Linked DNA regions of Nothobranchius furzeri. The protein of the gene in region 3 purifies or fractionates together with the protein of the main gene of each other region. This does not show direct contact. Links are inferred from orthologs where the notes say so. Each region holds a gene or a part of one and is shown on either strand. Other genes may lie near its edges.

Region 1 (4,257 bases), on a different chromosome or scaffold from region 3:
GTCTCCAAATTGTACTGGAATCAGTTACATGATTAGTTACTTGGGTTTATGTAATCCAAGTGAAAATGCATTCAGTTAAAACCCGCTACCTCAGGGACCTCATGTTGAAAGATCTCTGTGGATTTCTTACAAGAAGATGACTTAGGCTTGAATAAACTGTATGCAAAAGTTAATCCAGATGTATGTACGGATTTACGCACAATTCCTTCATATGATCCATCAAAGGTGATATTGAGCATAAGTGAACACTGGACACATAATATGCATGCTTTATTATCCAACAATGTAATTGCAACACGTGAAGTTATTATTTATTTTTTGTGCATCTGGTGTTAACAATATTTATTTTCACTGTTTCCCTGCAAGCCCACTATTAAGTGTCACCAAACACGCAGGTAAAGGTAGAAAAGCACATAAGCCAGCCGTGAAATAGGTGTGGGAAAAGGGTGCATGCTACGATGATTTAGTGTTAATACATGAGTAGTCTGACCTGCTAGACTCGTCCTAATACACGAGGCCCCTGGCAAATTCCTGCGGCTACTGAGTCTGTTTCACGTAAATTTATTAACATCTACCTTCTCATTTTGGTCCAAGCAGCTGAGATCAGCAGTCAGACCGTGCTCCTCAGCCTCCTCGGCTATCCCCTCAGCTATAGCCTGAGCTTGGCCCTTCTGGGACCCAAACAGCACCACAAATCGATGCTTCACCTCACAAGGCATGCTGGGGGGAAACAGATAAACAGATAAATATTTAGGCAATTCTAAAACGCCACAGGTAAAATAGTGAGACTAACTAATCAATTATCAGCTGCATTTTAACAAACATCTCAGCTTACCAACATACTTGGACAAATAAAAGGCAGGCTGCCACAGAAACACGTTTAACACACCGCTACGCCACCATTACCGTCAGTACCAGGATGTTGCGTCAAACTTTGACTAGTTACCAAAACAGCGCACGTGGACGTTTTTCACTCAAGAACACTTTATGAACATAACATTTCATATTTGGTCCGTAAACTAATTCGGAATTCCGAGAAACTCGACTCACTTTCTTTAGAGAATCGTGTTTTCTGGCATTAGTCCGTAATAAATACACAGGAAATACAAGCAGTTTAAAGTTAATAAAGTATTTCTACCTTTTTAAATTGTATGAAAATTCACCTCGTCAACTCCTTGCCAACATACCGGTAATTAGTCTTGTTACTGAATTCACGCGAGATCTGAGCTCAAACTGAGATTGCGCGTGATCGGAACAAACCAAGTTACGACAAAGACGTTCCCCTTGTTTAAAATTTGTTGTCAGTTGCAATGATATTAATTTGTATGATTGTGACTAATTTATGATATAGTTGTTCAAGCCTTTTGTCGTTTATAAAAAAGGTGACAGGAATGGAAGAAAACACGCTGAACTGAATTTGGTTCCGCCCTCCCCACCCGTGGAGCCTTCCAGAAGTCCCCGGCAGATCCGTGCGGCTTGCAGTTCAGCCACACTCCAGGATCACATCATTAAACGCGTTATTCTGTCAGATAAACGCCGATTGTGTGTTCTAAACTCCAAATCAGCATGTCCACTTTGGGCACATTAGCCTTTGATGAATATGGAAGGCCCTTCATCATCATTAAAGACCAAGACAAGAAGACACGCTTATCGGGCATTGATGCACTGAAGGTACAATGAGCTAGCTAGCATACATGTAGCGTGATGGCCTAACAAGCAAACCTGCTATTAGATATTTAATTTGGTTACAACACGAATTTATACATACGGCTTTGTGTTGCATGAGTGAATTTGTCCAACACATTCTGATGTTTGTGCAAAATAAGCTGAATTAGATTAGGAAATGAAATGAATTCGTTAGCTATGCTAAGAAGAGGCCCATGTGCTCCCTGTGCGTTCATCTAGTAGGAGGTGCTACATAGGGCTGTACCCTGCATGGTCATGTACATCACCCATACAGCCGACACGCTGTTTACATGCCTTTTGAGGGTGACTTTTAGAGGTAAAATGTGTTTTGATATGCACTTGTTTTGTTTTACAGTCTCACATAATGGCAGCCAAGGCAGTGGCATCAACGCTTAAGACATCTTTGGGTCCAAACGGTACGATCCAGTGCAGTGATGTCATTTCACTTGAATAACTGCTGAGATGTCGAGAGTCTGTGTGACCATTAGATTATTAATTTAATCTAGTTACAAACACAGCAGGTTTACCATGTCATGTCACCGTTTAGGTCTTGACAAGATGATGGTTGACAAGGATGGAGAAGTAACTGTCACTAATGATGGCGCCACCATTCTCAGCATGATGGATGTGGACCACCAGATTGCCAAGCTGATGGTGGAACTGTCCAAATCCCAAGATGATGAGATTGGTGATGGAACCACTGGAGTTGTTGGTGTGTAAACGTGTGCAGAAGGAACATTGTGTGAATGCTTTTTGTAGATGAACATGTGATATATGTTCTGTGTTAATTAATTTTATATAGAATTCTTGGTTAGTATTGATATTTTTATTTTAGTTAAATAGTTTTAATTCGGTAAAGTGCATAAAATTAGGTTTTGGCAGGTAAATTATGAGTTCCTAAAAGTGATTTGTGTGCTGCTACTATTGGGGCATTTTAGCATGCAAATGAATCAGAAAATGTCTAGATATCGGCCAAAAAGTGACAACTCGTATCGGCAATGACTCATACTTGTTGGTATTGGGGAAAGAAAACCCCATAACGGTCTACCTCCACTACCTACTGCTCTTCTAATGCATTTCTGACTCTGTTTACCTATTTTCCTGCATCCTCAGTGCTGGCTGGATCGCTGCTTGAGCAGGCCGAGCAGCTGCTGGACCGAGGAATCCACCCCATCAGGATCTCCGATGGTTACGACCAAGCTGCACGCATAGCCATAGAGCAGCTGGACAAAATAGCAGAAACTTTCCCCTTCGATCCCAACAACACCGAACCACTCATTCAGACTGCCATGACAACGCTGGGGTCAAAAGTGTAAATTAAATTATTATTTTAGTAGTTGTTGATGCCATTTTCCTGTGCCCCTGTGACCTGGCTGCTTTTTAAGTGAGTTATTGAGATTTGACAAATCACCTTTTAATCCTATTGTTGTTATCTAGCATCAACCGGTGCCACAGACAGATGGCGGAAATTGCAGTGAATGCCATCCTCACTGTGGCCGACATGGAAAGGAAGGATGTAGACTTTGAGCTCATCAAGGTGGAGGGCAAGGTGGGAGGAAAGCTGGAGGACACACAGCTCATTAAGGGAGTCATAGTGGATAAGGAGTTCAGCCACCCTCAGATGCCCAAGGTATGATTTAAAATATAAATGTTTGTTGTAAATATTGCTGCATTTTTGTGATGCTTTAACGTGCCTGAGCTAACAAATTCTCTTTTCAATTAGCTTCTCAAAGATGTTAAAATCGCTATTCTAACCTGCCCGTTTGAGCCTCCTAAACCCAAGACCAAACACAAGTTGGATGTGACCTCCGTTGAGGACTACAAAGCCCTCCAGAATTATGAAAAAGAGAAGTTTGAGGAGATGATCCAGCAGGTTAGTAATTCTCACAAATCCCGATGCTACAAAAATGACTTTTTGTGGTTCATGCAAATCAAGGAAGAATAAAAACACCTTAATTCTAGGTCAAAAGCACTGGTGCTAACTTGGCCATCTGCCAGTGGGGCTTTGATGATGAGGCCAACCATCTTCTGCTGCAAAGCGAGCTGCCTGCTGTGCGCTGGGTTGGAGGGCCTGAGATTGAGGTGAGGTAGAAGTCTTGCATGTGAAAGGTCAGAATGAGCTACCCTTGCTACGAGCTCACCCTTTGGTGTTTTGTTAGTTGATTGCTATAGCTACCGGAGGCCGTATTGTGCCGAGGTTCTGCGAGCTGACACCAGAGAAGCTCGGAACCGCTGGCTTGGTGAAGGAGATCTCCTTTGGCACAACCAAGGATCACATGCTCGTCATCCAGGAGTGCAAAAACACCAGGGCTGTAACCATTTTCATCCGAGGCGGCAACAAAATGGTACGCTCTCACAAGGCTGTATCGTTTTTGTCCTTTTTCATCACATTCATGTCTAATGGTCAAAACCTTTTCATTAGATCATTGAGGAAGCCAAGCGTGCTCTCCACGATGCTCTGTGTGTAATCCGCAATTTGGTGAAAGATAACCGTATTGTGTATGGGGGCGGAGCTTCAGAGATAGCCTGTGCCCTGGCTGTCAACCAGGCTGCAGATAAGGTGACAAATGA
Region 2 (2,833 bases), on a different chromosome or scaffold from region 3:
GTTGTAGATTATAAAGGATTCTTCCAAGCATGGTTTCCCACGTGACCCAGCTGTGTCTGAGTTCAGATCTGGAGGCAAGCTGCTGTAAAACATGTCTCAACACGAGTGACTTCCTATTTGTGAGAACAGCACAGACAGATCCTGGATCAGATCTGCTGTTAGAATCAAACGGATTTATACCAGGAGATAAACGAGAAAACATTTTACTTATCGTATTTCTAAGAAGGATCCATGCAGAAGGAAATCGTCCGCATTTAAATGTGCGATTATAAAAACATATCAGGCGGTAACTAGAGTTATGAACACTAAACCACATCTTCTCCCAGCTCTGACACGATGCTTACAAACGGTCTGAAGAGGACTAAAAATACAGATTTTCCTTCTATGTGGCAGTGATGAGCAGCCGGTGGCCAGATGTATTTACACCAATGCTTCATCAGATTTTGTTTTATAATTAGCTCCAATATCCACTTACCAACACATTTATGGCCTTGTATGTGACTCATTTGTGTCAGTGAAGTCAACGTGCTGAGCCGAGCGAGACACGACCAGTCAGTGGTTAGAAACAGCAGAATATTTATTCATCAACAGCAACTTAAATACGAGGTCAGGAAGGACTCCTGCTAACTTTTAGCTGCTGAACCTGAATAAAGCATTTGTGAGGGACGAGTTTATTATGCTGGAAACAAAAACAGTCAGAAACACTTTGAGCTCAGACCCAAATGTACACATCATGACAAGAGGGAGAGGAGAAAAACGAGTCTCCGACTCGATAAACTCCAAGTGAACCAGAACATTCTCCACCGGGAGAGCCAGGTCTTTCAGGATGGACCAAGAGTCCGTCCAAACCCGTCTTCTTCGGTACCAAACAGGTGAAACTCTGCAGCTGAAGCTTCAGTTCTCCAGGAAGGCCACATAGTCGGTGAGTCTGGCCAACTGCTGCTCGTTTGGAACCAGGGCGACCGGAGGAGGATCTGTTGGAACAGACGGAGGTGGAGGGGTGATAACATCCCATCGCTCTTTGGTTTCAACTCTGCAGCCACGGCCCACATGTTCAGGCTCCAGTTACAACCAGCCGTTTAACCTGTCTGGTACCACACGGGCAGGCAGGGACCTCACATAGAAAACCACAGAGCACGCTAGAGGCAGCGCTAAAAACACGCCACTAAGAGATCAGCTGGGATCTAAATAAAGTCTAAATGTTAAACAAACTATCAAAAATGTCTAAAGTCTGATTTAAAAAATTGTAAAAATATGAGAAATAAAAAACTTATTGTGAGGAAAATAAATGTCAAAATAAAAGTTTTAAAAAAGTGAAATAAAACAGGAAAGATGCAACAACCTACAAATCCCAGAATGCCTTTTGTGAAAGAACTACGGTCTCACAAGTCCTACTCACACACAGAAGGAGATTGTGACATCAAACCTTTCACAAAATAAGGTTGCTGTGTAACAAAGAAATTCTTTAAGCTCAAACGCTAACTTCCATCTTTAGCCGTAAAAAACTTCCCAGAATTCCTCGCAGCAGTTTTACCTACAAACCTTTTCTATAAACTATAAAGCTGGGGTATTCAATTCTACGCCTCGAAGGGCAGTACCGGCACGTTTTAGTGCTCGGTCACGTGCTCGGTCAGGGTTGGCTGATTCAGTGCTTGAATCACCTGCAGCAGCTCATCAGGCTCTGCAGAAGCCTGTTAATCACCTGCCGACTGGAATCAGGTGTGTTGGAGCAGAGTTACATGAGGGAGAATTTGCGCGTTTCGAGCGTTATCCGTTCTTTCATAAATCGTTGTTGAATTGTGATCAGAAGCTTTTCCAGTTCGTGCCTCACTTTTTTTACAGCAAGGGCCCAAAACGATCTCCTAACACATGGATGTTCTGCTTCCTGATCACGTGACGTGTGACGTATGCAGATGAAGATCAGCTTTAGAGCTGAGATGTTTGTTCTCACGGTGCGGGGGCTCGTCCTGATGCCCACACAGTATTGGCAGTGAATGAGTTAAATTTGATTATAACAATTTATTTTGAAACTGAAAATCAAAGTCAAAATTTTCTTGGAGACTGTGTGTGTGCATGTGTGTGTGAGTGCATGCGTGTGTATGTGTGTGTGCATGCGTGTGTGTATGTGTTTGTGTGCGTGTGTGTGCATGCATGTGTATGTGTGTGCGCATGTGTTTGTGTGTGCATGTGTGTGCGTGTGTGTGTGTGCGTGTATGTGTGCATGCGTGTGTGTGTTTGTGTACACATGTGTGTGCGTGTGTGTGTTTATGTGTGTGTGCGTGCGTGTGTATGTGTACACACACGTGTGTGTGTAACCTGTGTATGTACATGACTAATTCCTCCTCCCTACACCCTAGTGAGGACGAATCCGTCTAACTTCTAACAGTTTTTAAATCTTGATAAATTATCTGAACTAGGAGACAAAATGTTGGAAAGTTCTGAAAAATTAAACATTCTAAAGGGAAAAATCCATAAATCTCTCACAAGGATTACAAGGGAGAAGAAGACAGATTGACTAAGACAGCAGCGCCCCCTACCTGGCTTCTTGGGCATGACCATCCTGGTGGTGGGATCTGCCTGCCAGCCTTGACTCAACACTCCTTCACAAAGAAAACATCAGTAAACAGAATTAAACACACGTGTGGATCACTGTTAAAACAACACAGGTGTAAACATGAGCTCACCTTTTACTGCCTCATCCACCGAGTAGCCCACGAAGGCAGCGAAGTCCTCCACAGCAATGGACGTGTACGCCTGAGCCACCAGGCTGTACGCCCGCTGCCGTGTGCTCTCTGCAGACAAACACGGGTGTCAGTGGGGTGCATATGGATGA
Region 3 (2,860 bases):
CACAGTGTTTGAGCTACGTGGAAGTTTCCTCGTCAACACTTAAACGATTGCAAAAACAAGAATAAAATGCACAAGTGTGAAAGGATTGTGGATTTTCTGTCTTCCTCACAGTCAAAATACTATTCAACTAGTTCCTTGTTCTGTCAGAGCATCACCAGGGATGAAACCCAGCTGGTGATGTCTACGTGTTCCAGACTTCAGGCTGTAGTTCATTGCTAAGGATTTTCAACCAAGTATTAAAAAGTGAAGGTAGACTTATGGTTATTTTGCCACATTACTTTCGGCCCCGTGTGAGGCACACATGAAAACATTATTCCAACACTGTTCACATAGCCTAGTGAACTAAACCAAATTCTTGTTTTGCAAAGTTTGTATATGTCCTCACACATAGGATCGTTTGCCAGGCTACCGTTCACATGGTTTGAATGTAAATACCCTCAAATGAAAGCTGACAGTTTGCAGCTAAAGCACTTTGTGTTTATTTTATTTCAAGTCCATTGTGGGGGAGTAGAGCCAAACGTTTTAGAACCGTCGACGTCCCAATATTTATGGATTCGACTAGATACTGACAATATTGATTGAAAGCAGTTAAAAAGGCCCATGTTTATGTCATCCATGCCCATGAGAAGTGTGTAAACACCAGAAACTGTTTTAAGGAAAGACTTATATAGTTTTATTGTTCTATAGTATAAAAACTGTGAAAACGTAGAACTTTAAACTGGTTCATCAAAGATTCAATATACCAAACACGCAGACAGTCCCTGATGTTAAACACTAACAATGACATTTACAAAGACTTTAGATAAACAGTTCACTTCTTTCTAGCCTGAGCTAGTTTTTGTTTCGTGCTCCCAGTCCTGCTTTTGGTCTCGGCTTCTTCCAGAGAAGCCAGTTTCTTCTTGAGTTTTGTGTCAGCAGCCGAACCTTTTCGGTCTCTGCTGGAGCGCGGCTGACTCCTCCTCGGAGCCCTCGACCTTTCAACTGAGGACGGAGTTTCTTCGTGCTGTTTGTGCCGACCGCTGACCAGTGACTCATCGTGGTCCCAGACCAGCAGGGTTACACCTTTACAAAATAAAAGCGCAGAAAACAGTTGAACTTCTTTAAAAAATTAAAAGCTTCAATTTGGGTTAAATGAAGAGCGTCCGATAACTCACCCATACCAGATCCGATCACGTCACCCATCGGACTGAATTTATTGACCTGTGAGAACACCCCACACCCACACCCACACACACACACACACACACACACACACACACAAGCTTAGTAACAGCAGCCTTTAACGTGTCCATCTTTTAATGAACACTCACAGATTTAATCCCGGAGGCAGTGGAATCGTAAAGCTGGAACACAAGATCCCCACTGTTGGAGTCAAAGATGTCGACGCTCCTCAGATCCCCGGTGCAGATCCGGTCATCAGGGTAGCGTCCGGCCACAATCAGGTCATACATGGGATGCCACGTGGCCTACAGAACAAATGGACCACTATTCTCTCAATTTAATTAATTGTGATGTCACATTAGCATCCAAAGGAGTCTTTCCACACTAGTGGGACAGAAACACACGTTCAAAACATCACGCCTCGACTCATCAATCATACAGAAGTCTAGAACTATTCTGGACGTTTCACCAGAACTCGCAGGAGGACTCAGACACAAACCTTGATGGGTGTGAGGTGCTGAAACTGCCTGTGTGGGTGCTGGATGATGTGTTGGGGCTTGGAAAAGTCACAGGAAGAGTAAACACGAATCTGGTCGTGTTGATCTGTGGTGAGCAGCTTCGAGCAGTCCAGCGGGTTGAAATAGGCTGCAGTCAAGACATTTATTCAAGATGCGGGTCAAGGTTTGTGTCCAAAAGATGAGATGACTAATATTCTTTGAGATTTTTATTTATTTTTAAAACGTTATCTTTGAGCAAATAGTTTTTTCTTTTAAGTTTTGTTTTATGTTTGCCAGCAGTCCCAGATCAAATTTTAGGATTTTTAATCAATTTTTTTTTTAAATTTTGTTTATTACATTTCCCTTGAAACGGGAAAACAAGTTAAAAGTAAGCATAACATCTTGGGCAACTAATTTAAATAAATAAATGATGTACGATTTGTGCAAATACTCAGATGAAGTCATTCCAGGTTCCTAAAATATCTGGATGCAGAGAGCTGATCATTTCCTCCCAGCATTCCGTTTTGATCCTATAAACCAGGGGTGTCAAACTCAAACTCACACGGGGCCGAAATGAAACTCTGGGACGGAGCTGAGGGCCAAACTTAATATTTTTGAAAAAGTGACGGCAAATTTGCACATTTTATTTATCAACATGTATGCAATTTTGAACCTTTAAATTAGGAAACAAACTTATTTCTGCATTAACGCTGAATGTGGAATAACCAAATTACACACGAGCAAGTCAGTTTTAAATAAAAGGCATCAGTGGTATTCATTACTTGTGGTATAATCAGCATTTTTAAAATGTATTCAGGATTTATGTTTTCTTGTTTATTCATTTTTCTTATTATTTATTCTCCCTTTTTTCTCCTGTAATAAGTGTCATCGCTGCTGTGACGTCTAGCTTTCCCCACTGAGGAACAATAAAGGGATTTTCTATTCTATTCATCTATCTGCAGCCTTTCCACTTCCTGTTTACTGTAGGTTAAATCTTTTCTTACGGGCCAACAACAAAATAAAGACATAATTTTATCTTAAATGAAAATGCAATATCTCACCTGTTAACTTTCATGTTTTGGAGCAGAAAAAAGAGCATAAAACCAACATATTTAAAGCTCTTTTTGCTCCACTGGTTCACTGTGATGCTCACCTGTTCCAGCCAGATACCTGCATCATGGGGTTGAGCTGAGCTGAGGAGG

What was found.
Region 1: the proteins of ddb2 (region 3) and cct5 purify together in Homo sapiens (co-immunoprecipitation; 3 studies listed by BioGRID and IntAct, with this or other methods). This does not show direct contact. The link is inferred for Nothobranchius furzeri from reciprocal best matches to the Homo sapiens genes DDB2 and CCT5.
Region 2: the proteins of ddb2 (region 3) and cops8 purify together in Homo sapiens (affinity purification with mass spectrometry; 6 studies listed by BioGRID and IntAct, counting the BioPlex papers as one, with this or other methods). This does not show direct contact. The link is inferred for Nothobranchius furzeri from reciprocal best matches to the Homo sapiens genes DDB2 and COPS8.

Annotation. Positions count from the first base shown.
Region 1 is NC_091747.1:54,097,993-54,102,249, reverse strand, and holds the start of cct5 (T-complex protein 1 subunit epsilon), read left to right. Parts: upstream 1-1,412; 5' UTR 1,413-1,566; coding exon 1,567-1,671; intron 1,672-2,041; coding exon 2,042-2,102; intron 2,103-2,233; coding exon 2,234-2,398; intron 2,399-2,799; coding exon 2,800-2,998; intron 2,999-3,123; coding exon 3,124-3,316; intron 3,317-3,409; coding exon 3,410-3,559; intron 3,560-3,648; coding exon 3,649-3,768; intron 3,769-3,845; coding exon 3,846-4,031; intron 4,032-4,108; coding exon 4,109-4,246; intron 4,247-4,257. Other genes in the region: mtrr (methionine synthase reductase), read right to left, coding at 1-14, 576-719. UniProt on the Homo sapiens protein: Component of the chaperonin-containing T-complex (TRiC), a molecular chaperone complex that assists the folding of actin, tubulin and other proteins upon ATP hydrolysis.
Region 2 is NC_091747.1:24,680,917-24,683,749, forward strand, and holds the end of cops8 (COP9 signalosome complex subunit 8), read right to left. Parts: intron 2,793-2,833; coding exon 2,685-2,792; intron 2,601-2,684; coding exon 2,538-2,600; intron 975-2,537; coding exon 895-974; 3' UTR 560-894; downstream 1-559. UniProt on the Homo sapiens protein: Component of the COP9 signalosome complex (CSN), a complex involved in various cellular and developmental processes.
Region 3 is NC_091744.1:65,528,408-65,531,267, forward strand, and holds the end of ddb2 (DNA damage-binding protein 2), read right to left. Parts: intron 1,807-2,860; coding exon 1,661-1,806; intron 1,467-1,660; coding exon 1,311-1,466; intron 1,201-1,310; coding exon 1,155-1,200; intron 1,063-1,154; coding exon 812-1,062; 3' UTR 650-811; downstream 1-649. Other genes in the region: protein FAM180A, read left to right, coding at 1-43.